Linked DNA regions of Anolis sagrei. The protein of the gene in region 1 purifies or fractionates together with the protein of each later gene. This does not show direct contact. Links are inferred from orthologs where the notes say so. Each region holds a gene or a part of one and is shown in the gene's direction. Other genes may lie near its edges. The genes, in order: HSP90B1, OS9 and CALR.

Region 1 (10,716 bases):
TGATTTTAACCATGTTTTAACTTTGTACTGTATGTTTGATTTTGTTGTAAGCTGCTTTGGGTCTGCTTGCAGAGAAACGAGGAGTAAAAATATCTTAAATAAATAAAAATGAATTCCAAATAAACAAGATATATACAAGGGAACTTTTTTGGAAAATCCTGACTACCTAATGAAAAGTCCAACGTATTTGAATGAAAGATACTCCTAGGTTAGTGTGCTATGGTTGAAAACATCATCTCACAATCTGAGACTCTCATATTTAAGCTTCTGTTGAAATTCAAATAGTGAATTACATTGAGGGTGCTATATAGGTGATAGTGGTAGTATTTGCATAACTACTTTATATACTACTTTATATATAAGGTTGCATCTGCATTACACTTCAACAGCCAGGGCTCAATGCTATGGAATAATTATTTATTTATTTATTTATTTGCTATATTTCTATCCTGCCTTTCTTGAACCTGAAGGTGACTTAAGGCGGCTTACAACCAGGCAGCAATTTGATAATGGGAATTATAATTTTCAAAAATCTTTAGTCTTCTCTGCCTCACCAAACTAGAATTCCCATGATTCCATAGCAATAAACTATGGAAGTTAAACTGGTAACAAGCTACATTAATTATACAGTGTAAATGACAGTTCCCGCAATTGCATAGCTTTGAACCATGGCAGTTAGACTGGCGTCAAACTCCATTAATTCTATGGTGTTGACGCACCCCAAAAGAATTCTGTAGACTGTGTACTCTCAGTGTACAAAGATGAAATGTAGAAATATAATCAGAAAGGATATACACATTTTATATATAAATAAGAGGTTAACAATGCACATTCATGAGATATAAAGATACTTAAACGCTCTGAATTTTACCAAATTCTCCATGCTTCTTGGCAGGGGGTTGGACTGGATGGCCCATGAGGTCTCTTCCAACTCTATGATTCTATGTTCAGGAAATTACAAAATGAATGCAAGAATGGTCAGATGGAGCATGCAATTTTAAAAAAACCAAAATATATATTTCCATTATGAAGTGGCTCAAAAGGCACAGAATAGGTAAAGGTAAAGGTAGTCCCCTGACATTAAGTCCAGTCATGTCTGACTCTGGGGTGTGGTGCTCATCTCCATTTCTAAGCCGAAGAGCCAGCGTTGTCCGTAGACACCTCCAAGGTCATGTGGCCGGCATGACTGCATGGAGCGCAGTTACCTTCCCGCCGGAGCGGTACCTATTGATCTACTCATATTTGCATGTTCTCGAACTGCTAGGTTGGCAGAAGCTAGGGCTGACAGTGGAAGCTCACGCCGCTCCCCGGAATCGAACCTGCGACCTTTCAATCAACAAGCTCAGCAGCTCAGTGCTTTAAACCACTGCGCCACCGGGGGCTCCAGGCACAGAATACACTGTGCTAATTTTAAAAGCCCTAACACTTTTAAATCAGGAAATGATGTGTGTGTTTTTTAATCACAGAGGGAAGAAAAGCAGCAATGATACTGTCACAGGACTGCATTTTGCTTACGATGCTTACTCTTGAGAGGGAATCAAAGCATATATAGGTCATATCCCATCATGGTTACAAGAGGATAGGAAACAAAGGCAGAAAAATGCATTTCAACTCTTCATGGGGAACAACATAATGTATCTCTTTATGAGGATTGCGCTTTTCTGTATCCAATTCAAGGCTACAAACCAATTCACTGGCAGAGTACAGTGAGAAAACTGAAATACCAGAGAATACTGATGCTCTTTTTATCAGGCGTGTTGTTTACCCTGCGAAAAATATATAATTGTATAATTGTAAATTTGCAGCTTGGTGGATGACAGAGAAAACTATTTCCAAGTTTTGTTGAGTTTTTTTTTAAGATATCAAATACTAATTAGTAGCCACATCAGTACTTAGTACACATGGTTGAACAAAGCTGAAATGGAACATCAAAGGAAATAATCTAATCATCTTAAAATAGCACTGACTAAACAGTATGCCAGCATATCAAATGTTAACTAAGGACTAGTGCATATGTTTTGCAGTTCAGCATTGTTACTTATATTTTCCACTTCACTCCCTTATCAGATCTCCTCACTCTAAAACTTTGAATGAAAGGAGAAACATTTCCTACCTTATAAAGACATTGAAAGAGGTTAAATCTTGGGGGAAAGGCTTGTATTTGGACATCACTTAAAATCTCATTTCATACATACGCTAGTGAGAATGGTCACTGCAATTGGTTGCTATTTTAAAATGATAATCTGCAGAATGGACATTTTATGTCCTGTTGCAACAGCTGATGCAAAAGTCTTGCTTTTATATCTCAAAGGACAGGCAGTGCACTGTCTGTTAGGTATTCAGCTGACACTATGGTTCACCACCTGTGTTTGAAAGCAAGTGGATTCCGTTATAAGTCCATGGATAAGTGTTAATAGTGTAATATAACTCATTTAAAAAGAGCACAACAGTCTCTTAAACAATATCATACACTTAATAGCAGAGCCTCAATTTGGCACATCCACGATTTCAGCAACTATATGATGTAACTAGTAGCAATGTTCAAAATTAATGACTTGCAAAACCTAATGACTTGAGATAATGAGCTGCTTCCAATTAAGGCAGTCGATATAGTCCTAAATGGATTCAGCCTGAAGTACAAGGCAGCATATCACAGGAATTAAGACTGTTGTGTGTTATAAAGTTATGCAATGTAGGCTAGATATATACTGCCATATAATGCACTGTGGACTTCACTATATAATTGGTGTACTATAGACCAGATAGTGCAGTTTGAACTGCATTGAATGGCGTTATATGGGTCTACACTTACGATAGAATGCAGTTTCAACTGGATTATATGGTAATATGACATCCCTATTCTTTGTGTTGGAGCCCCGGAGGCGCAATGGGTTAAACCCTTACACTGGCAGTACTGCTGACCAAAAGGTCTGCAGTTCAAATCCAGGGAGTGGGATGAGACATGAGAGAAGCCTCCCACAGGATGGTAAAACATCTTGGTGTTCCCTGGGCAACATCCTTGCAGACGGCCAATTCTCTCACACCAGAAGCGACTTGCAGTTTCTCAACTCGCTCCTGACACCAAAACAAAAAACAAAACAAAACAAACCTCTTTGCGCTCAATGGGACTTCGGAGGTATGTTTCTCATTCAGCTAGTTTACTATCTGGGTGTCTACCAAACCATCTGAAATACTGATGCCTCTTCCTTCCAAAGACTACAGTACCCATCATGCAATATTAGAAGGCGGCTTGCATGTAAAGCAACACTGACATCATGTGTGGCAACACCAACACATGTAGTGCAGACTCTAAGCAGCCATTCTATGGGGTTTTACATGCTGGAATTTTGTTATTCCCCACTGTATTTTAACATAAATCTTAAATGGATTTAGTCCCCTGCCACTCTGCCTGACCCCTTTTTCTTTTCGCCACATCTTAATTAAATCATAAGTCTGAGGTTAGGGAGCTGTATTTAAAATAATTCTTAAGTGAAAGCATGCAGATGTTTCTGTTGCAATTATACTGAAAGGCCATCCTGCTGATTTTCCTCTGATTTACTTCATGTCTATTCTCAATAGACACATAATCTGGCATGTGTTAGGTTGCTAAAATGAAAGTAAAAATGTGAGTGAGTTATCATACACACACACACATCACATAAATTATCATTATAGAAGGCACACACACACAACTTGGGATGCCAGGTGTTAAAAGTAAAATTAAATTAAATTTGAAGAATGTGATATACTATATATACATATACACAAACACATATCACAAAACACACATGCACATACATAACATACATTATATAAAGTATATATTAATCATACATTATATATTATATAAATATAAAATGTATAAAAACATAAATCGTATAAAATACACACACTATATATATATATATATATTCTAAAGTATACACATATCTATTTATATATTTATTTCTATTCCACTTTATTCCTTCATACGGAGACTCAAAGCAGCTCACAATCAAAAACATAACTTAAATATATAAATATACAATAATAAAACATTATATCATTTTATATAATTTATTTATTGATTTGTGGTAATTGTATACTGCCCTTGTCAAACCCAAAGGGGACTCAGGGCAGTTCCCAGTGTTGGCAACAATTCAATACCATCGATAAGTAACACCATAAAATATCAAAACTGACTCTCCCTTGGTAAAACACTGAACATTACTAAACACACCATATAAAATAACAACACATATCACACAAAGATATAGCCGTTGTCAGCCCGTAGGCGACTCAAGGCAGTTAACAGGGCAAAATTCAATGCTTACAATATCATAAATACAATTAAAAACATAACATATAATAAAAATTAAACATATCAATAAAATATAAATTCATAGTGTCACCTTGTTAAAAACTTTGCCTGGTCTCATTGTATTATTATTAGTATTGTATTATTATTAGTAGTATATTGTATATTATAAAAGTATATGTATATGCAATATATTAGCATAGCACAATATTAGTACTATATTGTACTATACAACTATACTGCATTATTAGTAATATCACACGTAATATAAATTATAACTATTATGTTTTATTATATACAATATATATACTACACTACCAGTATAGTATTTTATTAGTATTATATAATATATTGTATTATAAGTTGTAGTATATATTATACTATACTATAAGTATTATATAACATACTAGCCGTACCCTGCGACACGTTGCTGTGGCCCAGTCTGTGTATGTGTTTTGTGTGTATATATGTGTGTTTGCATATATATGTGTGGTTTTGCGCATGCGTTGTAATGTATTTTTGTTGTTTTTTTTTTGTTTTGGTTTTTTAAGTCTCTCCTGCTGTGTTTTTCAGTGTTTTTATGAGTGATAGTCACTCGTTGGCCTGATATATGTATTGTGTCCAAATTTGGTGTCATTTTGTCCAGTGGTTTTTGAGTTATGTTAATCCAACAAACAAACATTACATTTTTATTTATATAGATGTATTATTAGCATAACACAATATTAGTACTAAATTGCACTATACCATGATACTGTAATATTATTAGTAATATCACATATACTATAATTATATATTATGTTGTACTATGCCACAGTATATATACACTAGCAGTATACTATTAATATTATATATTTTATCATACTTTAAGTTGTAGTATATATATTACATTATTATTATAAACATAAACACATAAATATTACAAACATAAACATGTAACAGAAATCACATATATATTTTATATAGTATTTTTTGCTTGCAGGTTTTGAATTTGTAAAAACAAAGACATTACATTTTTATTTATATAGATGTATTACTAGCATAGCACAATATTAGTACTAAATTGCACTATATCACTATACTGCAATATTATTAGTAATATCACATATACTATAATTATGCCTTATGTTGTACTATGCCACAGTATATATACACTAGCAGTATACCATTAGTATTATATATATCATACTTTAAATTATAGTATATATATTTCATTATTAATATTATAAACATAAACACATAAATATTACAAACATAAACATGTAACAGAATTCACATCTATATTTTATATAGTATTTTTTGCTTGCAGGTTTTGAATTATTTTGTAAAAACAAAGACAACTTCAATCTCAATCTCAAATCAAATGACTAAATACTAAAATACAACCAATAAAATAACTCCTAGCTTTCTCCCACCCCTAAATCCCCTTCCTTTAAAAAAATCTTCTATTTTTAAACAGAAGCTAGATGGCCATCTGCCAGGGTTGCTTTGAATGCAATATTCCTGCTTCTTGGCAGGGGGTTGGACTGGATGGCCCATGAGGTCTTTTCCAACTCTGTGATTCTATGATTCTATTTGGTTCTGAAGCTCTTCCCTGGAACACATTCTGGAGAATTTGATTCAACCTCTTTAAATGGGGAGGGGAAAAGGAAACCAAACCAAGGCCTATTACTCCCGCCCTTGCTCCCGATTGGTTGCTTCCCTTGGTAACAACCAATCGGGCCCGGCCACGCTCTGGCGCTGGACTCCCTCACCTGGAAACCGCCGATTGGCGGAGAGAGAGCTCCGCCCCTCCCCTTCGGGCTTCCTATTGGCTCCGCGTTTGGCGTGGTGAGCCGCGATTGGTGGCGATGCCTCCGCCTCGCGGCGTGCGCGAGTGATAAGCCGGCCGGGATTGGGGGGGCGGGTTGACTTTGATTAGTGGCTTCGTCTCCTCAGGTGTCGCTGAGGAGGTTCCCCCACTTTCTTCACACTTCAGCGCCGCGTGGGAGGCAGGGACAGTCCGGAGTGCGCTTCGAACCGACGACATGAAGCCTTTGTGGGGACTCGGCCTCCTACTCGTCCTGCTTTTGGCCGGTGAGGCGCCGTTGAGGGGAAGAAGAGGGGGAGGGGGTTCTGGAACATTCTGAGGGAAGCCTGTTTGAGGGGAAGGGGACTCTTGGGAAGGCCTCACATTATTTCTTTTCCTAACTCCAGGCCTAGCAGCGCCTCCGAGGCCTCCTCGATTTAAAGCTCTTCGTTGTGTTCTACTTTAACTATCACGGCCTAGTGTTATGGAGTACCTCAGGCATGGGCCAACTTGGGCCCTCAGAGTGTTTTGGACTTCAACTCCCACAATCCCTAACAGCCTCAGGCCTTTTCCTTTCCCCCCTCAGCCGCTTATAAGCGGCTGAGGGGGGAAAGGAAGGGGCCTGAGGCTGTTAGGGATTGTGGGAGTTGAAGTCCAAAACACTCTGAGGGCCCAAGTTGGCCCAAACTTGCTATACAGGATTTGCAACCATGGCAGCACAATGAATACACTTTGACATCACTTTAAACTGCCAAGACTCAATAATATAGGATTTTGGGAGTTGCAGGTTTGCAAGGTACCAAAGAACTCCAGGTCTCGATGGTGGTTAGGGGAGCTTTTGCACAACTACAACTCAGTTGCACCCATAGCTAATACCCTGTGCCGGCAGGACCGAAGACCGACAGGTCGCAGGTTCGAATCCGGGGAGAGGCGGATGAGCTCCCTCTATCAGCTCCAGCTCCTCATGCGGGGACATGAGAGAAGCCTCCCGCAAGGATGATAAAAACATCAAATCATCCAGGCGTCCCCTGGGCAACATCCTTGCAGACGGCCAATTCTCTCACACCAGGAGTCACTCCTGACACGACAAAAAAAAACACATAGCCAGACTTGACCACGGTGGTCCACACTCTTGTTACATCCCCAAATGTACTACTGCAGCACAGTCTATAAGGGGTCACCTTTGAAGACTGCCCGGAAGCTCCAACTAGTCTAGTGGTCAGCAGCCAGGTTGCTCACCAGACTAGTTTAATGGGTTGTTGTAAGTTTTTTGGGCTATATGGCCATGTTCTAGAGGCATTCTCTCCTGACGTTTTGCCTGCATCTATGGCAAGCATCCTCAGAGGTAGTGAGGTCTACCTTAGATGCAGGCGAAATGTCAGGTGAGAATGCCTCTAGAACATAAAACAGCCCATTAAACTAGTCATTTTTTAAAATGTCTTGCGTCATGTAAAAATTACATGATCTGGGAAAAGGTTGATTCATATACAATTTAAATATTTTATACAAAGTGAAATGCATACACTATGCCAGGGGTCCTCAAACTTTTTAAACAGAGGGCCAGGTCACAGTTCCCCAAACTGTTGGAGGACCAGATTATAATTTGAAAAAACATGAATGAATTCCTATGCACACTGCATATATCTGTAGTGGAAAAAACATTTTAAAACAATACAATAATTAAAATGAAGAACAATTTAAACAAAAAGAAACTTCTTAGTATTTCAATGGAAAGTGTGAGATAGGATTGTTGTTGTTACTGTGTGCTTTCAAGTCATTTCAGATTTCGGTTGACCCTGAGTGAGGGCCAGGTAAATGACCTTGGAGGGCTGCATCTGGCCCCTGGGCTTTAGTTTGAAGACCCTTGCTCTAGAGGTTGATTAGTATACAATTTAAATATTTTATACAAAGTGAAATGCATACACTATGCCAGGGGTTCTCAGACTTTTTAAACAGAGAGCCAGGTCACAGTCCCTCAAACTGTTGGAGGGCCGGATGATAATTTGAAAAAAAGCATGAATCAATTCCTATGCACACTGCACGTATCTTATTTGTTGTGCAAAAACGGACAATGCGATAATTAAAATGGACAATTTTAACAAATATAAACTTATTAGTATTTCAATGGGAAGTGTGGACCTGCTTTTGGCTGGTGAGATAGGATTGTTGTGTGCTTTCAAGTTGTTTCAGACTTAGGTTGATCCTGAGCAAGGGCCAGGTAAATGACTTTGGATGGCCATATCCAGCCCTCGGGCCTTAGTTTAAGGAACCCTGGTCTTAACCTTTAAACCCTGAACAGTTCCTGCCCAGGTTACCTGTCCTCTCTTTCGTTACGAACCATCACAAAGTTTAAGATCAGCTAGAGAGGCCATACACTTGATCCCATCACCATCACAAACGTGACTGGTGGGAACAAGAGACAGGGCCTTCTCAGTGGTGGTCCCTCACCTGTGGAACTCTCTCTCCAGTGACATCGGATTGGCCGCCTCCTTCCTGTCCTTTAGAAAGAAACTCAAAACCTTATGGGACTAAGTCTTTGAATGATAGAGGCAGGAATCAAGGATAAGAGTCAGGTGATATGAATGACAATGGACTGACCCGGACTTGGATTTTAAACTTGTGTGATTTTAAACAAATGCCTTATCAATGTAATGTTTTAATAAATTGTTTTAAATGTATTTTTATGAATGTGGATGTCACTGAAAGAGTGCCTGTTGTGAAGCTACCTTGATTTCCCCCTCGGGGATGAGAAGGACAGGATACAAATGTACAAGATAAATAAATATTGGAACCTCACCCAACTACAACAGTACAATTCCATAACATTGGACCATGGCCGTTAAAGGGGTGACAAAACAGTATCAGTTCTGCAATGTAGGTGCAGCCCATATTAGTCATAGTCCCATCTATCTTGTGATAGAAATGCTTAGGAAACTTTTAATTTCATCATCATCTCTTAAGGAGCACAATTGGACCAATAGCTTCTCTTTGCCATGTGCTTGAAGTCTGAAAGAAAATGTCTACCCAATCAAAAGATTTTTTTTCTGTTTAGTAGACTTTTTTGGACAGTCCCCAACTATAATGGGATATGGTTTTGAAGGTTGCCTCATCTGCTTCCCAGTGCATCATGCTGTTCTAATGTCTTAATTGGACCCTAGATGGTCCTGCACATTCCATCTTGGTTCCTCCATTCTTGGCTATACCAGTATAATTCTTATTGTCTCTGTTCCAAGCAGGCAGAGATACATAGCTGTGTTTTGAGTGACTAAACTAGCCAAATTCTTTTTACAGCCTCAGCCCAGGCTGATGAGATTGATGTGGATGGCACTGTAGAAGATGACCTGGGTAAAAGTAGGGAAGGATCTCGAACAGATGACGAAGTTGTTCAGAGGTTTGTTTTCTAAAATATCAATACAGTTGATGTAAAATGCACACTTGGAACAAATGTTATCTAAATAGAGTTAATGAAAGGTAGTTAAGATGCAAGTCTCATTTCTTCTGTTGTTGTAACACAAACTTGCTGATCCCGTGTGGGCATATAGCTAAATTCATCAGCTATCATGATGATGATGATGAAGAAGAAGATGGAGTCTTTCAAGTAGAACATTTTCCAATATGGACTGGAAAAATCTGGCTCGATTAGTTGGCTTTGATCAAAAACACAATAGAGTGATCCATACAAAGAGTTTTAGGTCATAATCTAATTGGGAACATAGGTACTTTGTTAGATGTGCTATTGTTAAAGTGAAGTTTTAAGCATGTAATTTTTTTTCAAAATAGGGTTGATTTATACATAGTGTTTTACTAAATAATTTAGCTGCAGTGATACTTGTACTAAATAATTTAGCTGCAGTGATAAATCCTCCTAGGAATCCTGGCTAGAAAATAACCTTTTGAAATTGGGTATGATTAGTGTTGGATACTGTCTTATCTTCTTACAGCTTATCAATTCTCATCTCAACCTGACCCAACAGAAAGATGCTAGGTGGTGGTGAATTACCACATTGATGCTTGAAAGCATCACTACTGATAAGGAAGGAAATAACATTTTTTTCAGCAAGTGGTGAAGAGGAGGAGCCATAATATCAAAGGCATTATATACAGAATGTGATGTGATAAGAACCTGAGCATTAATGAATATGCTAGAATAGTCATTAGACCTAGAGACACGAACCTTGGACAACATCAGTGCTAAAACACAATCTTTAAAATCTCTATATATATCCATTTCTAAACAAGGGAGCTTGGAGTGATTGTGAGTCCTTGGTGAAGCCTAAAAAAGCCAGTCTGACATGTTTATTTTGCATTGTATTTTAATACTAAAAAAAATTAAAAAGCAATTTGGGATGGGCCAATATACACCCACATACAACATTTGAGCCTGAAAAGTGAATTTCATTATGGGCAAAGGATGCTCCACTAGAGACAGATTTTTAAATTATTATTTATTGGATTTATGCCCAGTTTTACAGATTTGGATTCTGCTTGTTTAATTGTGTGCCGGATGTAGTTTCAAGTAGGTCTGATTTGCATTTGAAACAAAAAAAACTTATCTTTTTATGCAGTACCTATATTTCTTAATTCAAGCATAATTGCTTAATATTTATTATCTACAGGGAAGAAGAGTCTA
Region 2 (10,468 bases), on another chromosome or scaffold:
TTATACTAATCTTGTTTTGTGATGCCTTGTGATTGCAAAGTAATGGAATAATTGAGAAGTGATCTCAGGGTGATCCTTACATAAATAATTACGGAATGACCATAATGTGAGAGAAAATTCATGTTGTGATGCAAATTCTTCCATTGTCCGCAGCAGAAAGTGAAGCACCCACCTGCACAATGTGAACAGTCAGGCAGCTGCTCAGCTCCACCATGTGCACCAGAAAGGAAGGTATTCCCTCAACATAGGAAGCAACAGCAATGAAGGTGGCTCCTCCCAACCTAGTCCCTGTAGTAGAGGAGGAGGAGGAGGAGGAGGAATGCCTCCTGCTCATTAGGAGTCTGCTTAACATGCAGCTGACTTTTTCTTGGATGTCTGGTTCCCTGGATTGTTCAAAGCTTAAGAGACAAAGGGAAGTATGGCCAGGAAAATCCCCTGTCGCTTCTTCCAGAATGCCTTGGAGCTAGGCGGTCAAGAAATAGCCAGCTTTATATAAAGCTGCCACCTTGTGGTGGGTGGCAGCAACCCTCTCTCTTCCTTTCCCTATAACAGTAGGATTGGTTTGTTGTTTATTCGTTCAGTCATTTCCGACTCTTCTGACCTCATGGACCAGCATACGTCAGAGCTCTCTGTCAGCCTTGGCCACCCTCAGTCATTTCAAGGATAACATCCATCCATCTTGCTCTTGGTCAGCCCCTCTTCCTTTTTCCTTCCTTTCCCCCCAGCATCATTATCTTATCTGTAGCCCTCGGTGTCACAATGGGTTAAACCCTTGTGCCGGCAGGACTAAAGACAGGCCAGAGGTTCAAATCCAGGGACAGTTCAGATGAGCTCACTCTGTAGGCTCCAGCTCTCCATGTGGGGACATGAGAGAAGCCTCCCACAAGGATGGTAAAACATCCGGGCATCACCTGTGCAACATCCTTGTAGATGACCAATTCTCTCACAGCAAAAGTGACTTGCAGTTTCTCAAGTCACTCCTCACATGGAAAAAAATCTTTTCCAAGCTTTCGTGTCTTCTCATTATGTGGCTAAAGTATTTCATCTTTGCCTCTAATATCCTTTCCTCCAGTAAGCAGTCGGGCTTTACTTCCTGGAGTATGGACTGCTTAGTTTGATTGTCTTACAGTTCAAAGCACTCTCAGAATTTTCCTCTAACACCACAGTTCAAAAAGTGTCTATCTTCCTTCGCTCAGCCTTCCATATGGTCCAGTTCTCACATCCATAGGTTACTATGGGGAATACCATTGCTTTAACTATGCAGACCTTCATTGCCAGTGTGATGTATCTACTCTTCACTATTTTATCGAGATTGGTCATTGCTCTCTGCCCAAAAAGTAAACATCTTCTGATTTTCTGGATGCATCTACAGTAACCTTCACGACTAGAAATACAGTCTGTCACTGCCTCCACGTTTTCTTCTTCTGTTTGCCAGTTATCAATCAGTCTGGTTGCCGTAATCTTGCCGTTAAACTGCAACCCAGCTTTTGCACTTTCTTCTTTCACCTTGGTGATAAGGCTCCTCGGCTCCTCCTCACTTTCAGCCATCAAAGTGGTATCATCTGCATACCTAAGGTTGTTAATGTTTCTGGCATCATTTTCTCACTCAACCTTCCCATATAGCTTCAAACCAGGTCTTTGAATTTCATCCAGCAGCCAGTGGAGTTGGGTTTTCCCTGTATCAAACAAGCAAACTGGCTGAAGCTTTTTGGACCAGCTGAAGTTTCCAAACATTCTTCAAGGGCAGCCCCATGTAGAGCGTGTCACAATAACCCAGCTGTGATGTAGGCAAATCCTGTGTCACTGTGGCATCTGAAGGAGCAGATCCAGCTGGCAAGCAAGCATTAAATGTGCAAATGCACTGAAACCTGAGCTTCCAGGCTCAGGATTGAAGCCAAGAGTACACCCAAGTCACAGACCTTGGCTGGATTAAGTTTCAATTTGTTCACATCCATTATGGGCATTACAGGTGAAAGGAACAAATTTGGGACAAAAACAATTTCCTTGGATTTTGATAGAAAGGAGTAGTAGATGTTGGGTGCTATCCACATACTGTTGACACCAAACCCCAAGCTCTGGGCAACTTCCCATGTTTTGTGTATTTATTAAATAGCATGGAGGACAAAGTGAGTCTGAATGATCCCACAGGCCAATGGCCAAGGGGACCTGGAGTTCTCCAGCACCATGTCTCCACTATCTTATAACAGCCTTCTTCAGGCAAGTTGGAATTCTGTCATGTTTTAGCATGACACTGACCACTCCGTCTATTTAGTAAATGAATAGCCTTTTTTTAATAACTCAAGAAGGCCAAGTCTCTAACGCACATATGGCAGTTCGTATCTCTCAAAGAAATCTGTCTACATTCTTGGGTGGCTCAAATTAAAAAGCAATCATCAACAAGTTAGAGTCAAAGTTACATTCACTGCATCTGTACCAATTCTAGTGTCAAAGTCAGAGGGGATATAAGCAATTTCATTTGCCAAATGCCAGATAAACTATCCATAGCAAACTGTTTATGTTCTATGAGTTTCTTGAAGATCTTTTATTCAGAGTGTTCCCCATAGTCATAGAATAATAGAGTTGGAAGCTAATCCAATCTCCTACCATGCAGGAAAAGCACAATCAAAGCACCCCTGACAAATGGCCAACCAGCCTCTGCTTAAAAGCCTCCAAGGAAAGAGCTTTCACCATACTTGGAAGCAGAGAGTTCCACTGCTGAACAGCTCTTACAGATAGGAAGTTCTTCCTAATGTTCAGGTGGAATCTCCTTTCCTGGCATTTGAACCCATTGCTCCTAGTCCTAGTCTTCAGGGTAGCAGAAAACAAGCCTACTCCCTCTTCCTTCTGACATCCTTTCACATATTTAAACATGGTCTTCTCTTCTGCAGGTTAAACATCCCCATCTTTTTAAGCTGCTCCTCATAGGACATATTCTCCAGACCTTTGATCATTTGAACAAGTTCCAGTTTGTCAATATCTCTATTGAATGTTTGTGCACCAGCTGCACCCATACCTTGGGAAGTCTGACTTGGCCACCGTAGTCCACGCTCTTGTTACATCCTGTATAGACTACTGCAATGCTCTCTATGTGAGGTTGCCTTTGAAGACTGTCTGGAAGCTTCAACTGGTCCAATGGACGGCAGCCAGGTTCCTAACTGGAGCGGCTCTCAGGGAGCATACAACCCCCTTGTTGCGCCAGCTCCACTGGCTGCCAGTCTGCTACCAGTCGCAAGTCAAAGTGCTGGCTTTGGCCTTTAAAGCCCTAAACGGTTCTGGCCCATCTTACCTGTCCAAATGCATCTCCCCTTATGAACCTTCGAGGACTTTAAGATTGTCTGGAGAGGCCCTGCTCTCGGTCCCGCCATCATCACAAGCATGGCTGGTGGGGACGAGAGACAGGGTCTTCTCAGTGGTGGCCCCTTGGCTATGGAATGCCCTTCCTAGGGAGATCAGATCGGCTTCTTCTCTTCTAGCATTTCAGAAAAAACTCAAGACATGGCTATTTGAGCAGGCATTTGCGAATACTGAGTAACGGACATAAGAACGGAACAACTACATGATGGGACTGGACATTGTTCTAATGTGTATTTATTGAATTATGTTTTATTAGAGTTGTTATGATTTTATTGATGTTAATGTTTTTATCTTGTAATTGTGTTTTTGGTGGCATTGAATTTTGCCTTGTAAACCACCTCGAGTCACCGGAAGGCTGCGAGGGGCGGTATACAAATACAGTAAGTAAGTAAATAAATAAATATTCTAGGTGAGGTCTAACCAAAGCAGAATACAAAGGCACCAGGACTTCCCTCGATCTACATGCTATACTGCTTTTGATGCAGTCCAAAATCCCATTGGCTTTTTAGTTGCTGCATCAAGGGTCTGGAGATCAAGGGTCAAGGGTCTGGAGAACAATCCCTATGAGGAGCGGCTTAAGGAGCTGGGCATGTTTAGCCTGAAGAAGAGAAGGCTGAGAAGCAGGCCTGTAGCCAGAATTTTGTTTGGGGGGGGGGGGGCTGAGTTTAGTTTGGGGGGGGGGGCTGAGTCTAAGTGAAAGAGGGTCTAAACTAGCAAACCTTTTGTATCGTTACCCCAATACCCCCATGCATATGGAATATATTGAGCATGGTGATCAGATCATGATATGAATAAACATAACAGTTTAAATAATGTACCAGTAAGGCCTTCTCTCAAACCACCATGAGAATTTTGGGGAGGGGAGGGGCTGAAGCCCCCCCCCCCCCCGGCTACATGCCTGCTGAGACGAGATATGATAGCCAAATATAAATATGTGAGAGGAAGCCACAGGGAGGAGGGAGCAAGCTTGTTTTCTGCTTCCCTGGAGACTAGGACGTGAAACAATGGCTTTAAACTACAAGAAAGGAGATTCCATCTGAACACGAGGAAGAACTAGGTTCTTGTGGGTTTTTTGGGGCTATATGGCCATGTTCTAGAGGCATTAGAACATGGAATGCCTCTAGAACATGGCCATATAGCCCCAAAAAACCACAAGAACTTAGTGATTCTAGCCATGAAAGCCTTCGACAATACATGAGGAAGAACTTCCTGTGACAGCCGCTCAGCAGTGGAACTCTCTGCCCTGGAGTGTGGTGGAGGCTCTTTCTTTGGAAGCTTTTATACAGAGGCTGGATGGCCATCTGTTAGGGGTGATTTGAATGTAATATTCCTGCTTCTTGGCAGGGGGTTGGACTGGATGGCCCATGAGGTCTCTTCCAACTCTTTGATTCTATGATTCTATGATCACATTGTTGGCTCATGTTCAACTTTTTGTTCACAAAGACTCCAAGATCTTTTTCACATGGACTTGTTATTCAGCCAGGCATGTAGTTCATTCAGCACGAACAACTGTTAATGCAGAAATTCAGTTGGATATGATCTCATGAAAGCAGTAATCAAAAGGATGAAAAAGTCAGTGGTATTTTATTTATTTATTTCTCATGTCAGGGCAGCCAGTCAATTATATTACATTTCTAACAGAACAAAGCAAACAAACAGAGAAAATACAAAATGTGTGAGTTTGGTAGTTGATTAAATGTCCTTTGATCAGTATCTGGCCACTTGGAGTGCCTCTGGTGTTGCCGCAAGAAGGTCCTCCATGGTGCATGCGGCTGGGCTCAGGTTGCATTGCAGCAGGTGGTCTGTGGTTTGCTCCTCTCCGCACTCGCATGTCATGGATTCCACTTTGTATCCCCATTTCTTAAGGTTGGCTCTGCATCTCGTGGTGCCAGAGCGCTGTCTGTTCAGTGCCTTCCAAGTCGCCCAGTCCTCTGTGTGCCCAGGGGGGAGTCTCTCATTTGGTATCAGCCATTGGTTGAGGTTCTGGGTTTGAGCCTGCCACTTTTGGACTCTCGCTTGCTGAGGTGTTCCAGGGAGTGTCTCTGTAGATCTTAGAAAAGTCAGTGGTGACATCTTTGAATGACTGGGGATCCTTGTTGATGGAAGTGTCAATATAGAGAAAAGAAAATAATGTAGTACCTGTTACCAAGCATGACCCCCTCTTATTACAAATCTAATTTATAATAAGGGAACTTATAGTTTTGCCAAGGACACCTTTTTGGCCAAAAGAGCGCTGGTGTCTCATCAAACTACAACTCCCATGTCACAGAAGTCGGCCAGGGAAGGTCAAACAGCATCAAACTATAGCCCCTTCCACACAATTGACTAAAATCCCACACTATCTTCTTCGAACTGGAATATATGGCAGTGTGGACTCAGATAATCCAGTTCAAAGCAGATATTTTGGGATTTTCTGCCTTGATATTCTGGGTTATTTGGCTGTGTGGAAGGGCCCTGTATTAATTCTGTGTTGTAGGCGCACTCGCCTTCTGCCAGCTTTCCAGTAGGGCAGCCGCTTGCCATTCTGATTGGCTGCTTGGATTGCCTGAACTTCAGCCAATCGGTTTCCACCAGGTTTTTTTAGCCGCGGCTTGTGCAAGCGCTCGCTCCCCTGATTGGCCCAAGGAGTGAACCAATGGCGTTTTACCAGGTTTTTTTTCCCCACCGAAAAGCCTCACTCTCCCCGCCCCTTGGAATCAGCCAATGGTAAGCGCCCTCTGCGATAATTGACACCTCACCGGGACCATTCTCTTCCCTGGGTCAGAACGCGAAGGCAGGGCGGAAGTGGCCGTTGCCTAGGAAGGGCAGAAACAGGCGGAGGGGGCGGCCGTGCGGGGAAGATGGCGGCCAGGTTCCTGCTTTCGAGGTTTTGCGGCCCGCTCCTGCTGCTGCTCTGGGCAGCGGCGCTGGGAGGCGGAGAGGCGCTGGGTTCCTTGAACCTGCTGGAGCTCAGCGAGCTGAAGTACGGGATCGAGATCGGGGCCGAGCCAGTGATGGCCGGGCAGGTAGGCCCACCTGGATGGGGAAGAGAGGAAGGGAAGTGTCATCCATACTGGAGCATTAACGCAGTTTGGTATCACTTGAACTGCCATGGCTCAATGCTGAGGAATCCTGGGAGTTGTAGTTTCACAAGGTCGTTAACTCTGCTGAAGAGGGCTGTTGCCTCCCCAAACCCCTGACTCCCATAATTCCATAGCACTAATCTGGGGCAGTTCAATGTGGGCTCAAACTGCGTTAATTCTACAGTGCAGATGCGCCCCCAGATCTGATGCAACTGTAATTGAACTTGATAAACAAAATCAAGAGTGTAATTGTAATGTTACTTACCGTATATTAAAAACTTAGTGACAGGAAATATAATTTTTGGGTTGTTGTATGTTTTTTCGGGCTATATGGCCACGGTCTAGAGGCATTCACTCCTGACGTTTCACCTGCATCTATGGCAAGCATCTTCAAAGGTTGTGAGGTCTGTTGGAACTAGGAAAAAGGGGTTTATATATCTGTGGAATGACCAGGGTGGGACAAAGGACTCTTGTCTGCTGGAGCTAGGTGTGAACGTTTCAACTGTCCACCTTGATTAGCATATAATGGCCTGACAGAGCCTGGAGCAAACTTTTGTTGAGAGGTGATTAGATGCAGGCAAAACGTCAGGAGAGAATGCCTCTAGACCATGGCCATATAGCTCGAAAAAAACATACAATAACCCAGTGATTCCGGCCATGAAAGCCTTCGACAATATAATTTCTGCTACAGAAATGATTAAGAGAAAAAAAATTTTAGAATTATTAATGTCAGATTTAAATATAGTAGTAGGACCTAATTATATAAAGGAAACGCTTACTTCTTGGGAGGAGAGCAATGTCCAATCTTGATAAAATAGTGAAGAGTAGAGACATCACACTGGCAACAAAGATCCGCACAGTTAAAGCAATGGTATTCCCCATAGTAACCTATGGATGCGAGAGCTGGACCATAGGGAAGACTGAGCAAAGGAAGATAGATGCTTTTGAACTGTGGTGTTGGAGGAAAGTTCTGAGAGTGCCTTGGACCGCCAGAAGATCCAACCAGTCCATACTTCAGGAAATAAAGCCCGACTGCTCATTGGAGGGAAGGATAGTAGAGGCAAAGATGAAGTACTTTGGCCACATCATGAGAAGAAATGAAAGCTTAGAGAAGACAATGTTGTTGGGGAAAATGGAAGCAAAAAGGAAAAGGGGCCAACTAAGGGCAAGATGGATGGTTGGGATCCTTGAAGTGACTGGATTGACCTTGAAGGAGCTGGGGGGGGGGGGGGTGACGGCCGACAGGGAGCTCTGGCGTGGGCTGGTCCATGAGGTCACAAAGAGTCAGAAACGACTGAACGAATGAACAACAAATGTAAAATTTAAGACATTGCTTTTACAAAATGAACAAATGAAGAAACATTTAGAACCGCATACTTGGAATACTAAAAAGGATTTTGTTAAAATTCAATTCCAACATGGAGAAACACAGCGTATAGCTGCCAGGAGAGTGTACTAACTGCGTATCACTGGTATGATATTTTAAAGGAATGCTCGCCAAGAGCTACAGCTTTCTTGCATGTTTTATTACACTCCATTGTGTGGATTTGCAGCGTACTGTTGTTGATTATGAGATAATTGTTATATTTAGTGTAAAGAAAAACAATCAGACTTAATTCAAAAAGATAAAAATGGAAATGCATGTGTTCCAACAGCATTTGTGATTTCAAAATAGAATGTATTTTGATCTCAAGCTGGAAGTGTTTGTGACCAACCTGTGTGCTTGAGCCCTTGTGCTGAAGAAACAAAAGTATCTGTGAAGAAATTGAGAAGCACAATGCATGATGATATGGTGAATTGACAACTAAAGTGAGGATTCTCTGAGAGAGGAAGTATGACCTTCAGAATGGCTGCATGTTATCAAGTAAAGCGGAGCCCCCAGTGGCGCAGTGGGTTAAACCCCTGTCCCAGCAGGACTGAAGACCGACAGGTCGCAGGTTCGAATCCGGGGAGAGGCGGATGAGCTCCCTCTATCAGCTCCAGCTCCTCATGCAGGGACATGAGAGAAGCCTCCCACAAGGATGATAAAAACATCAAATCATCCAGGCGTCCCCTGGGCAACGTCCTTGCAGATGGCCAATTCTCTCATACCAGAAGCGACTTGCAGTTTCTCAAGTCGCTCCTGACTTTTTAAAAAAAAAAATCAAGTAAAGCCACAGGACTAGTCAATATAGGAACTTTAACAAGAGATAACAAGAAAACATTGTTCATTATTACAGTTGTTTGTAAAAACAACACATGCATGCAGATAACAGAAGTTAGAAGGTCTATAAAAAGACTCTCCAGAGAAAATGTGCAAGAATAGCAGTGATCAGTTCTCAACCAGTGATGAGAACTGATCAACTTGGCATGCGGACCTTTTTGTTGTATGAAGAATGATTGTATGAGTGAATGAAAACCTGACATCAAGAATTGTATAGTGAAAATGGAGCGATGAAAGTTACTTGTAAAATGTTTGAAATCCAGATCTGGTGTCTGGGAATCATTTTTCAGATCTATAGTCTTGAGTAAACAGTATTCAGTTTCCCCTCTTCTCTGGATCATAAGAACAAACTGCTTTGGGTTACATTTGTCACTTGCAAACATGAAATGCTGCTGGTATAATGTATGCTAGGCTAGTGAGACTTTCTGCCAGGTTTAGTTGGTCCTTGGTTTCTGTTTTTGTTGGTAAGCATTCCAAGTGCAGAACTTGCTTATTTTTTGTTTATGATATTCATTCATTGAGAGGCAGTGCACACTGATAGAGCTATCAGAAGCATGATAAGCTGGTGTAGTCACAGCAGGCTGCTGTTGTCTGCATTACCTGGCAACATGACGCTTTTCTTCATTATCCTTTATATATAGATCAGTCAGCTTCCAGCAGAAGCAATGTTGTATTGACAGATATATTTTAGAACAGATCTAGGGCAAACACAACTATGGGAAGAGATTTTGAAAATTCATGAAGCTTTATGGAAGGGGGAGGAGAAAAGCTGTATTGGAATTTGTGAGAGTGATTCTGAACTAATTTGGTAAATGGTCAGCATTCATAAAATAAAACTGATCATGTGGCTATCCCTTAACACGTCCCAGAAATTATAAGACCTAGATCACTGGAGGTGGAATTGAGAATATAATTGACTTCCTTTACAGGAGAGTTGGAATAGATATGTTTATGCCAAATCAATATAGTTGTATTATAGCATGAAAAGTTTTGTTTCCTTTTCTCTTTAATATGCACTTCCATTCTAGATGTATAGTATTGTACACACAGTTGCAGGACCAAGCTTACTTCCATGATGGATCAAAGTGGAACATTTGCACTCATGATGTATAATAACGGTGTCAAAATGTCTTAAGTGTCTACTACCACCCCTCTGCTATGCCAGCTCCACTGGCTGCTGGTCCATCTCCGAGCCCAATTCAAAGTGCTGGTTTTGACCTATAAAGCTCTATACAGTTCTGGCCCAGCTTACTTGTCCAAACACACCCACCCCTACATTCCACCTCATAATCTAAGATCATCTGGGGAGGCCCTGTTTTCGCACCCGTCAACAGCACAAATGCATCTGGCAGGGACGAGAGACAGGACCTTCTCGGCTGTGGCCCCCCGCCTATGGAACACACTCCCAAACAAGGTAAGATCTGCTCCCTCCCTCCTGGCTTTTAGAAAGAAATTAAAATCATGATTTTGGGACCAGGCTTTCAGACAGTAGATGTATGTAGCACTTTAGAGGGACATTGACTGGAATGGCAATACGGCTGATGAGACTGTTTTATTGATTGCTGGTCTATTGTTTTAATTATGATTTATGTTAATTGTGGTTTTATTATTGTAATTGTTATGTAGTGGCATCGTATCGATACCCCTGGTAAGCCATCCTGAGTCCCCCTTCGGGGGTAGAGAAGCGATGGAGTAGAAATACCAGAAATAATAATAATAATAATAATAATAATAATAATAATAATAAGTGTATTATGGTAAAATGCTTTTAGTTGTGTGCTTTCTAGGCACCAGAGGCTGCAGTGTGTGAATGAAGATGTATGGTAACTGGGTCAATTTAACAAGCTTG
Region 3 (11,188 bases), on another chromosome or scaffold:
GTTTTGTATGTATTTCCCTTCTTGGTTGATCACATGTTGGATATAGCAGCATTCTTACGACATAATGGCCATGTATTTTTGGTCTGAGAGAAATGCAAATGTCAGATTGGTCTTCCTCATTTCCATCACAGCACAGTTGGGATGCTGTCATTCCTATTGTCAAATGAAATGTTGAATCTTGCCTTGACTGAGAATACTTAACAGTTTGTTTTCAGTGACACAATACGTAAGATGGCTTTATAAAAGTTTAATTATTTTGTCTCTGACTCATGAGTTCTGCAAGGTTTTCAGTTAATAATGTGTAAAGGTTCTAGTAGGGCTGTCATCATTTCTGCTTATTCTCGTTTCCCAAGGCTCCTGTGTTTTGCACAGATAGACTGACTTTCGGTTAATGATGCATGGATGTGGAAACATTGCTTATTAAATTTCTGTCACAGTTACCTAGATATGAAGCTGAAAATCCCAACTGGCTTGCCAGCATGTTGCTAAAAGTATTTACCTTCTTGGGTCTCATAACCATTGTCTAAAGTCCTCCTCTGGGTGCACTTTTTATGACCAGTTGCAGGGGGGAGTCACTTTATTTGTCTAGGTCTGTTAAGAACTATTTGTACTTTTAGATCATCTGTGCATAGCCTTCTAAATAGACTGCCATTCCTATCAGCTCTGTTCAGCATTGTTAATATTTTCCTATGTAACAGCATGGCCAATGATCAAGAAATTATAGGAACTCCATTCAACCAACATCTGGAGGATTGCAAGTTGCCCAGCCCTGTTTTAGATCCTTACACTCCTTGTTTCTGTTCTCTTTATGGGTTTTACCTTGTGTTGCTGATTTTATTCTTACTATTTACTAATTTTATTCTTACTATTTACTATTGTTTCTTATTTTGTATCTTATGTTTTTAGTAGAACTGTATACCACCTGGAAAAACCCAATGACTAGACAGCCTAGACATTGGAGGGAAGGATAGTAGAGGCAAAGATGAGGTACTTTGGCCACATCATGAGAAGAAAGGAAAGCTTAGAGAAGATAATTATGCTGGGGAAAATGTAAGGAAAAAGGAAGAGGGGTCAACCAATGGCAAGATGGATGGATGGGATCCTTGAAGTGACTGGCTTGACCTTAAAGGAGCTGGGGGTGGTGACGGCTGACAGGGGGCTCTGGCGTGGGATGGTCCATGAGGTCACAGGGAGTTGGAAGCGACTGAACGAATGAACAACAGACAGCCTAAAATGGGAAGAAATCAAAAAGAAAGATATATGCTGTGCTCAATAAAATCCAGCCAATAATTCCTTAACATTACTGCTGTTATTGCATTCATTATTACTGTTTAGGTCAGGGGTAAGGAATATGTAGCTATCCACTCGCTACTGGATTGCAATTTCCATCAGCTTTAGCTAGCATAGTCTGTGTCAGAGATTGATGAACACTACAATCCAGCAACTTGCAGAGAGCTACACATTTTCTGCCTTGGGCTGTCAAGCCTATTTTCATTGAGGGTTTCAGCCTGATGGTTGCCTTCAAAGGACCATTGACTCCATGAATACAGAGGACCAACTATATATATATACTAGCCATCCCTTGCCACACATTGTTTTGGCTCAGTCTGGTGATCTGGAAAATAAAATAATGAGCAAATGTTGATTTCTAATATATGTAATGCCTTTATGCTTGTGGGTAAACAGTATTTCTTGTTGTTTCTTTGTCAGTGTTGATATGGAGATTGTCTGGTTTGCCTACTCTGGAACATGCAACATATAATTGTCCTTCTTTAGGGGTCCCTTTCAAATCTATGATACTATATCTCTCTCTCTGTGAATCATATATATCTATCTATATCTATGGCTGGATGGCTCTTGTTCAGGAGGGCTTTGATTACATTCTCTTGCCCTGGTGAAGGGAGTTGGACTGGGTGGCCTGAAGTATTTTCTGTTGGTCATGGGGGTTCTATGTGGTAAGTTTGCCCCAATTCTGTCATTCGTAGAGTTCAGAATGCTTTGTGTTTGTAGGTGAACTATAAATCCCAGTAACTACAACTCCCAAATGTCAATGCCTATTTTCCCCAAACTCCATGTTCATATTTGGGCATATGGAATATTTGTGCCAAGTTTGATCCAGATCCATCATTGTTTGAGTCCACAGTGCTCTCTGATGTAGGTGAACTACAACTCCCAAACTCAAGGTCAATGCCCACCAAACCCTTTGAGTGTTTTCTGTTGATCATGGGAGTCCTGTATGCCATGTTTGATTCAATTCCATCATTGGTGGAGTTCAGAATGCTCTTTGATTGTAGGTGAACTACAAATCCCAGCAACTACAACTCCCAAATAACAAAATCATTTTTTTTAGTGAAAGACATACATTGGGTTGTTAGGTGTACACTGTCCAAATTTGGTGTCAATTCGTCCAGTGGTTTTTGAGTTATATTAATCCCACGAACGAACATTACATTTTTATTTATATAGAGATATTTACATAGTGGTTGGGTCTCTTTAGTTTTTACCCATTTTGGGCCCCTGGATGTTAGGGAATGACAATTCCCAACACTTTTGATTATATGCCATGCAGACTGAGGATAATGGGTCTGGCAATCCAACAACCCTTGAGGGTCTAAGATTGGGGAAATGTTAGCGGACATGTTAAAGTCAGACATCATATCCACAAGTCTTGTACCTAAATCCAACCCTGACTCTCGTGACTAAACAAAACAAACTGCAGCCTTCCAGGTGTTACTATATCACAACTCTCATCAGCTCTAATAACAAAAAATATAGGAGCTGTAGTCAGGCATCTGCAGGACAACATTAAATGATATGAAGGGCCTTGAGTTTGACACAAGTGGTTTCAATGATGATGCCAGTAACACAAAACAAACCAGAAAAGAGCAAAGGGTGGGAGAAGTGAGAAAACACAATATTAATGCAGAATATCAAACTATTGAGTGAGTCACCCAGTGGCTTCCATGGCCGAGCTGGGATTCAGACCATGGCCTACAGAGCCATAACCTAATGCTCAAACCACTAAGCCACAATGGTCCTCTAATAAATGGCAGACCTTTAAGGTCTAGTAAGGAGACTCTGTTCTCCACACAGTCCAGGGCCATCATGCATTTAAAAGCCACCAGAGAAAGCACATTCTCGAGAGTGGCTCCAAAGCTGCTGGAGGAAGTTTGATCAGCTTCCACACTGATGTCATTCAGGAAAGCTGTGCAGATCTTCCTTTTTGAAGCAGCTTTTAATCGAAGCCAGGCATTTTATGGTCAGGAATTTGTCAATGGTTATTATTTAAATAAAATGTTTATTATTTAAATAATAATCTTCAGACCTTCCTGTTCAAGCAAGCTTTTAATGAAGATATTTAATTTGGAATGACAGGAAGGCTATATCTTTCAGTGAGTTGAGTAAAGTTTATCATCTGTATTGAGGAGTTCCCACAACAATTGTATTTATATCTGTTAAATAATTTTAAAATGTTTATTTATGCTTTATTGTAAAGTTGGTTTTATAGGTTATTGCTATATGTATGGTCAATTTGTTATTAGCATAGTACAATATCAGGTGTCAAACAGGGATGTGTTATTGCCCCAACTTTATTCTCCATCTTCATCGCTATGATACTTCATCTTGTTGATGGGAAGCTTCCCAGCGGAGTGGAAATCATCTATCGGACAGATGGCAAGCTGTTTAACCTCAGCAGACTGAAAGCCAAAACCAAGGTTACAACAACATCTGTTACAGAACTCCAGTACGCTGATGACAATGTCGTCTCTGCGCATTCAGAAGAAGATCTACAAGCCACTCTAAACACTTTCGCAGAAGCATACGAGAAGCTCGGCCTGTCATTGAACATCGGGAAAACCAAAGTGCTCTTCCAACAGTCACCAGCCAACCCCCCTCCAGTGCCAGAAATACAGCTTAATGGTATAACATTAGAAAACGTTGACCATTTCCGCTACCTTGGCAGCCACCTCTCTACCAAAGTCAACATCGACACCGAAATGCAACACCGCCTGAGCTCTGTGAGCACAGCATTTTTCCAAATGAAGCAGAGAGTGTTTGAGGACCAGGACATCCATAGGGATACCAAGGTGCTTGTTTATAAAGCTATTGTCCTCCCAACCCTGCTATATGCCTGTGAGACGTGGACAGTCTACAGAGGTCACATGCAACTCCTGATACGATTCCATCAGCGCTACCTCCAGAAAATCCTGCAAATCTCTTGGGAAGATAGGCGGACAAATGTCAGCGTGCTGGAAGAAGCAAAGACCACCAGCATTGAAGCGATGGTCCTCTGCCATCAACTCTGCTGGACCGGCCACGTTGTCCAGATGCCTGACCACCATCTCCCAAAGCAGTTGCTCTACTCTGAACTTAAGAATGGAAAACAGAATGTTGGTGGACAGGAAAAGAGATTTAAAGATGGGCTCAAAGCCTAACTTAAAATCTCTGGCATAGACACTGAGAACTGGGAAGCCCTGGCCCTTGAGTGCTCCAGCTGGAGGTCAGCTGTGACCAGCAGTGCTGCAGAATTTGAAGAGGCACGAATAGAGGGTGAAAGAGAGAAATGTGCCAAGAGGAAGGCACGCTAAGACAACCCCGACTGAGACCACATTCCACCTGGAAACCAATGCCCTCACTGCGGGAGAAGATGCAGATCAAGAATAGGGCTCCACAGACACTTATGGACCAACCACCAGTACATTAATCCTGGAAGACTATCCTGCTTGGACAACGAGGGATCGCCTAAGTAAGTAAGTAATTATTAGCATAGTACAATATCAGTACTATGCCATTATATTGTAATATTATTAGTGATATTACATGTAATATGGAATACATAATTATAATATTGTATTAGTAGTAGTATTATATTGTATTACATTTTAATATTATAAATATTAGATGTATATACAATATATCATAAGTAAAGCACAAGTGCTTGGAGAGCTGGAACCAATCTTTCTCATGGGCAGACGCAACCTGGAACCCCCATTATGCTCCTTTCAGATGGAAAGGAGATTCCAGCAGAACATTATTTATTTATTTATTTACTACACTTCTATGCCACCATTCTCAGCCCGAGGGCGACTCATGGCGGTTTACAAAACGGCACAATTCGATGCCCACAACAGTACAAAAATAGTTTAAACATTAAAAACATTTAACACAGATTTAAAAAATCATTACAATTAACATCAATAAACATAATAAAAAACCATAAGTCCTCCACATTTCATTAATCAGTCATTGTCCAGTCACATTGTCCAACCGTTCCGAGATCAGAGTTTCAAAGCTACACTGCCTTTGGGAAGGCCTGCTCATATAGCCAGTTTTTAACTTTTTTGCGAAATGTTAAGAGGGTGGGGGCTGATCTATTGTCCCTGGGGAGGGCATTCCACAACCGAGGGGCCACCGCTGAGAAGGCCCTATCCCTCATCCCCGCTAATCGAGCCTGTGAAGATGGCAGGGCCGAGAGCAGGGCCTCCCTAGAAGATCTTAAATTCCTAAAGGGTTTGTAAGGAGAGATACGTTCTGACTTTGAGAGCTGTTCAGCAGTGGAACTCTCTGCCCCGGAGTCTGGTGGAGGCTCCTTCTTTGGAGGCTTTTAAACAGAGGCTGGATGGGGGTGCTTTGAATGCAATATTCCTGCTTCTTGGCAGGGGGTTGGACTAGATGTCCCATGAGGTCTCGTCTAACTCTATTTATTTGTCCTGTCAGAGCAACCAGTCCATTATATTACAAGCAAGCAAACAGACAAATACAAAACTTGTGAGTTTGGTAGTTGGTTAAATGTCCTTTGATGTCCTGGCCACTGGTCTAACTCTATGATTCTATGATTCCCACTCTCCAATGTGCTTTCACCCTCCTTTCAGAGCCTTGCAATGAATGGGTGTAAGAAGCGAGGAAAGCGGCCTTGAGCTGGCCCTTTAAATCCCGCCGGGGTCACGTGGGGCTTGTGCAAAAAAAAAAAGAAAAAGGAAGAGTGACGCACACAAGGCGATAGGGAGGGGGCGGCTCCCCCCGAACGCGTGGTCGTGCCCCATTGGCCAGAGGTAGTATCCAATCAGAAGCGGCCATCTGGGACGCCAACGTTCGGGGGCGCTGCCCAACCCGCCGTCTTTCCGACCGACCAATGGCAGTGTCCATCCGGCCCGGCGCGAGCAATCGGGACACGGCGGAGGCGGGCGTTCGATCCAGCCCGGTATAAAAGGGCAGCGAAAGCACTTCGCTGGCCGCAGTCGGTTGCCCTTGTCAGGCTCGAGGAGGAGAACCTTGCGCGCGGGGAAAAGACATGGCTCTCTTCTTGGCCTTCTGCTCCATGCTGGCCCTGGTGTCGGCTGGGCCTGCGCAGTACTTCCGGGAGGAGTTTGGGGATGGAGGTGAGCGGCGAGGAAATGAATGGGGGCCTCCAGCAGGGATGGGCCCATCTCAGGGAGGGAGAGAGGATGGGTGGGTGAGGGATATTTCTGGAGCCCTTCTATCCAGGGGTCGTTAGGAGGGTAAAATCACAACAGTAGGCCTCTAAGAGGAGTGCAACAAAAGGGGAGGGGGATGGAGAGAAGCAGGGCTGAGCCTGGGTTGGTCTTTCTCTTGTCTTCATCCCCCCGCCATCTTGGATTGTGGCCATCTAGGGCTCGAGGAAGGCTGGGGGTGACATTGCAGTTTCCCCATAGACAACCCCATAGTAGAGATGGAGGCTTTTGGGAGGGGAGGGGATCAATCCCCTCTAGGCTGGCACAGAGTTCCCCTTAGAGAGAATTGTGCCATGATGGTTCAGGTTCTGCTCCAAGTAAAGAGTGGCTGAGAAACCTGGATGCCTGGCCAAGAATGTAAAAACGAATGGGAATGGATATATATTATGAAGGAGGCAACTGACTGCTTAATTTGGGGATGGGGTAGGGCATTTACTGGAGGGCTTTCAAGGGAGGAAAATGGGAGAGCTCTGTTCATATCCATCCTGTTTTGCTTTCCAAGCCACTCATGATGTGTGAAATACCTCTGAGGATGCTTGCCAGAGATGCAGGCGAAACGTCAGGAGAAAATGCCTCTAGACCATGGTCATATAGCCTGAAAGCTACAACAACCTAGTGATTCCAGCCATGAAAGCCTTCGACAGTACATTCTCCTAGGATCCTTTTTTGCCCTGTGATAAGTCTGTAGGTAAAGAATTCAGAGATGATTTTCCCAGTTCTTTCCTCAGAAATACAAGCTATAGTAACTAGGATTCATTAGTGGTCTCCCATTCAAGGAGTAACCAGAAATGTCCCAGCTTAACTACCAAGATCAGAAAGGGTCTGCAGCTTTTAGGTTTGCTTGCTTTTGCATTCGCATGCCTACCCCAGAGTATAAGTGTACCAGGAAATGCAAAAAATATTGATGACAGGAGGAAGGATTCCAGATATGTTGAATCTACAGTCACTGGCCCTTTCTACATTGCCATTTAAAATCCAGATTATCTGCTTTGACCTGGATTATATGGCAGTGTAGACTCATAAAATCCAATTCATAGCCATATAGCCCGGAAAACCTACAACAACCCTGTGAAATATCTTGTTTGAATTGTGGGTTCTTAGGATCCAAGAATAAATACAAATAGGAATATATATGAGGGAGGCAACTTGCTGCTTAATTGGGAGGGGGTGGGCTTTTTCTCAAGGGAGGAAAAGGAAGAGCTCTGCTCATGTCCACCCTATTTTTAAGTGGCCACTCATGAATTTATTGTCGAAGGCATTCATGGCTGGAATCACTGGGTTGTTGTAGGTTTTTGTTTTTTTTTTGTTTTGTTTTGTTTTTTGTTATATGGCCATGTTCTACAGGCATTCTCTCCTGACATTTCACCTGCATCTATGGCAAGCATCCTCAGAGGTAGTGAGGTCACCTCTCTGGATGTGATTGGATCACACACTCAAGTATTTGTCTCTCTTGGGCATCTGTTCCTTTCAGCCACAAGAATCACAACCTTAAAATGAATGGTTAGTATATACCAAAACATTATTTGATTCAACTAAATATACACAGAGTTGATTTATCTTAATTCGTTAATTGACTCAAAGATCTGCTCTATAAGGCATTTAGCCCAAAACATCTAAGGAGGAATTATTTGTTAAACTTTGCATCAAAAAGGAAAAGTATTGTCGAAGGCTTTCATGTCCTGAATCACTGAGTTGTTATAGGGCTTTTTGGGCTATATGGCCATGTTCTAGAGCCATATATCCCAGAATATCGAGTCAGAAAATCCCACAATATCTACTTTTGACTTATCTGAATCCACACTATCTCTGAGGATGCTTACCATAGATGCAGGCAAAACATCAGGATAGAATGCCTCTAGAACATGGCCATAAAGCCCGGGAAAAACGTACAACAACCCACTCATGAATTGTGTGTGCTTATGATCCATTTGGAAGAGGAAATTGAGAACTTGGCAGTATGTGTGACAGGAAAAAGACTGTTGTGTCTAGTTTAAACGCACTGGGGAGTTGATAATTACACTGTAATCAATGAGGGCCACAGGGATTGTGAATGTGGACTAAATAGTTCACTCTGGGATGTCTCTCCCGACACACACGTACCGCCTGTTGGCAGAGGATCAAGAGTGACAGGTGTATGCTTCCTCAGTCTGGGACTACACTGAGGGCCCTTCCACACAGCCATATATCCCAGAATATCAAGTCAGAAAATCCCACAATATCTACTTTTGACTTATCTGAATCCACACTGTCATATATCCCAGTTCAAAGCAGAAAAAGTGGGATTTTATTCAGCAGTGTGGAAATAAGAGAACTATTGTGCTTATTTCATTGCAGTTATTTCTCTGGTCTATATGTGTGTGAGTGTATGTGCAGTCAAAGCATAGAATGTGGTTTGCAGTGTGAAATAAACTTAGGGCCCTTCCACACTGCTCTTTATTTCAGGAGCTGATCCCAGATTATTTACTTTAAATTGGGATATATGAGGGTCTACTGATCTGGGATCAGATCCTGGGATATAGGGGCAGGGTGGAAGGGCCCTTACATGCAACAGCAATTTGGTGTATAGGTTATTAAGACCGTTCTGATGATAGTGTAGCGTTTGTATAATAAGATGTGGGTCTCCCAGGTAGATTTGGCTGAATTGGTGATATTTAGGTAAGCCCAGTGCGACCTAGAGATGCTTATTTTCTAAAGAATCCTGTGTCCAATTTTATTCCACGATGGAGTAGAAAATTAAAAAATAAAGGATTGTCTTCTAGTTTGTCTTGAATGTTCTGTGCATTTGCATAGAAATGAATACCATTGAGCAGATTGTATAAACGTATGTTTAGGATTGTGCTGTTAGGCCCCTTATGCATCAGAATATTTTCATTGCATACATTAGCTAGGTATAAGCTCCAATTCTCTGTCTGAGGTTGGCAGCTTTATTCTTTCCTGTTCTGTGCTGCTAGGAGGAAGTTAAAGGGTAAGTTTGGCTGATGTTCTTTTGGGAGAGCAAGAAATGCTAGTTACAGTGTAATATAAAATAATATAAAATAGTAGATAGTGTGGTCCTGTCGTTGGTTTTTCTGTGATATGGTTGTGCCAGTTTTTTAATTATGTTTTTGTTTATGTATTTTGATTTGAAGACTTTTTTGACCTTATGAAGTAAGGGAAGATCATATAAATTTTAGATAATGCCCAAAATTCCTATTGTTCACAAAAATGTGCTTACTACTTTTACTTGAGTTCTCTTAATAAGGTTTGGCCATTGGGCATGGTAGTTCCTTTTAATTTTCAGCAGCCCTATGCTGTATGGTGTGGAGGAAGAGCCACAGAATTGGGAAATCGTTTAGTATTAAGCTCCCATACTGTAACAAGTGAACCATGGGGAAAATATGCCTCTGACATCAATCATATTATTGAAAACTATGGTATTCATTTTTTAAAGATCGTTGAAAGAACTTTTTTTTATTTATACAGTGGAAACTGCTCCAAGTCATTGTAAATAGCATTTGAGGGGAGGCACTACTTGTAAACAGCGTTCAAGCCATGCATTGTACCCAGGTGGCATTGCCATCTAAATGTTATGGTTAAGCAAGAATTGGGATAGTTTGGTAATCCAGAACTATCCACCACATCAACACTCCAACAGCCTTCTGTTTTGTACTAAGTCATGCTTTAATCTAGCTTGCTAGAACAGGAGTGGAAACCATGAATAATCAGAAGATTTAATTGCAACAAAGTGGCTACATAGCTTTCCCAGAAAACACAAAATAACCGTAAAGATACAGTGTTTTTAAAAATTGGAATCTTGTTGCAAAACTAGGTTGTAACCAAAAAGGATAAAAATAGCTCATCACATGTTGCTTTCAGGACAAATGTATTTCACTTACTATCTTTTTATGAAGTAGATTTCTGTGCAATGTTTAAAGCCAAATGATAGGCAAAAATACATAGTGGGTCAACAGAGATGTTGTTTTTATTTCTTTAGATGCCTGGACGGGCCGTTGGATAGAATCAAAGCACAAATCGGACTATGGAAAATTCGTGCTTTCATCTGGGAAATTCTATGGAGATATAGAGAAAGACAAAGGTGAGAAAATGTGGCAGAGGGTGTTGTCTTCATTCAGTGAGAGGTAGAATCCTCAAACAGGAAGTGCTAATGTAATGCTGGAAAAGTTAGTCTGAGGCCCCTTCTGCACTGCCATATAAAATCCAGATTATTTGATTTGAACTGTATTGCGATGATGCTTCATAAATTGGTAATGGCCTTCTCGGCTGTGGCCCCCCGCCTATGAGGTAAGTTCTGCTCCCTCCCTCCTGGCTTTGGGGGGGGGGGGGAATTAAAATCATGGTTCCGGGACCAGGCCTTCGGACAGTAGATGTATGTAGTATTTTAGAGGGACATTGACTGAAACAGTGATATGACTGATGAGACTGTTTTAATGCTTGTTGATGTATTGTTTTAATTGTGATTTATGTTTAATTGTGATTTTACTATTGTAATTGTTTGTATTGTCATCGTATCAGTGCCCAACGTAAGGCATTGAATCTTGCCATTATTTATGTGTAAACCGCTTTGAGTCCCCCCCCCCCCCCCCAGGGGTGAGAATGGTGGTATATACATACTGTAAATAAATAGTGGGAAATTTCTTTATCAAGTAGCTCAAAATGGTTTTCTGATGCACTTTGGCTTCCAATATGAAGGGTGAAGTTCAGACATTAAAGAACTG

The links.
Region 2: the proteins of HSP90B1 (region 1) and OS9 purify together in Homo sapiens (affinity purification with mass spectrometry; 6 studies listed by BioGRID and IntAct, with this or other methods). This does not show direct contact. The link is inferred for Anolis sagrei from reciprocal best matches to the Homo sapiens genes HSP90B1 and OS9.
Region 3: the proteins of HSP90B1 (region 1) and CALR fractionate together in Homo sapiens (co-fractionation; 4 studies listed by BioGRID, with this or other methods). This does not show direct contact. The link is inferred for Anolis sagrei from reciprocal best matches to the Homo sapiens genes HSP90B1 and CALR.

Annotation. Positions count from the first base shown.
Region 1 is NC_090025.1:170,807,253-170,817,968, reverse strand, and holds the start of HSP90B1 (endoplasmin), read left to right. Parts: upstream 1-6,172; 5' UTR 6,173-6,324; coding exon 6,325-6,373; intron 6,374-9,377; coding exon 9,378-9,477; intron 9,478-10,702; coding exon 10,703-10,716.
Region 2 is NC_090022.1:186,666,887-186,677,354, forward strand, and holds the start of OS9 (protein OS-9), read left to right. Parts: upstream 1-6,142; 5' UTR 6,143-6,194; coding exon 6,195-6,359; intron 6,360-10,468. UniProt on the Homo sapiens protein: Lectin component of the HRD1 complex, which functions in endoplasmic reticulum (ER) quality control and ER-associated degradation (ERAD).
Region 3 is NC_090022.1:162,447,230-162,458,417, forward strand, and holds the start of CALR (calreticulin), read left to right. Parts: upstream 1-6,208; 5' UTR 6,209-6,292; coding exon 6,293-6,380; intron 6,381-10,446; coding exon 10,447-10,548; intron 10,549-11,188. UniProt on the Homo sapiens protein: Calcium-binding chaperone that promotes folding, oligomeric assembly and quality control in the endoplasmic reticulum (ER) via the calreticulin/calnexin cycle.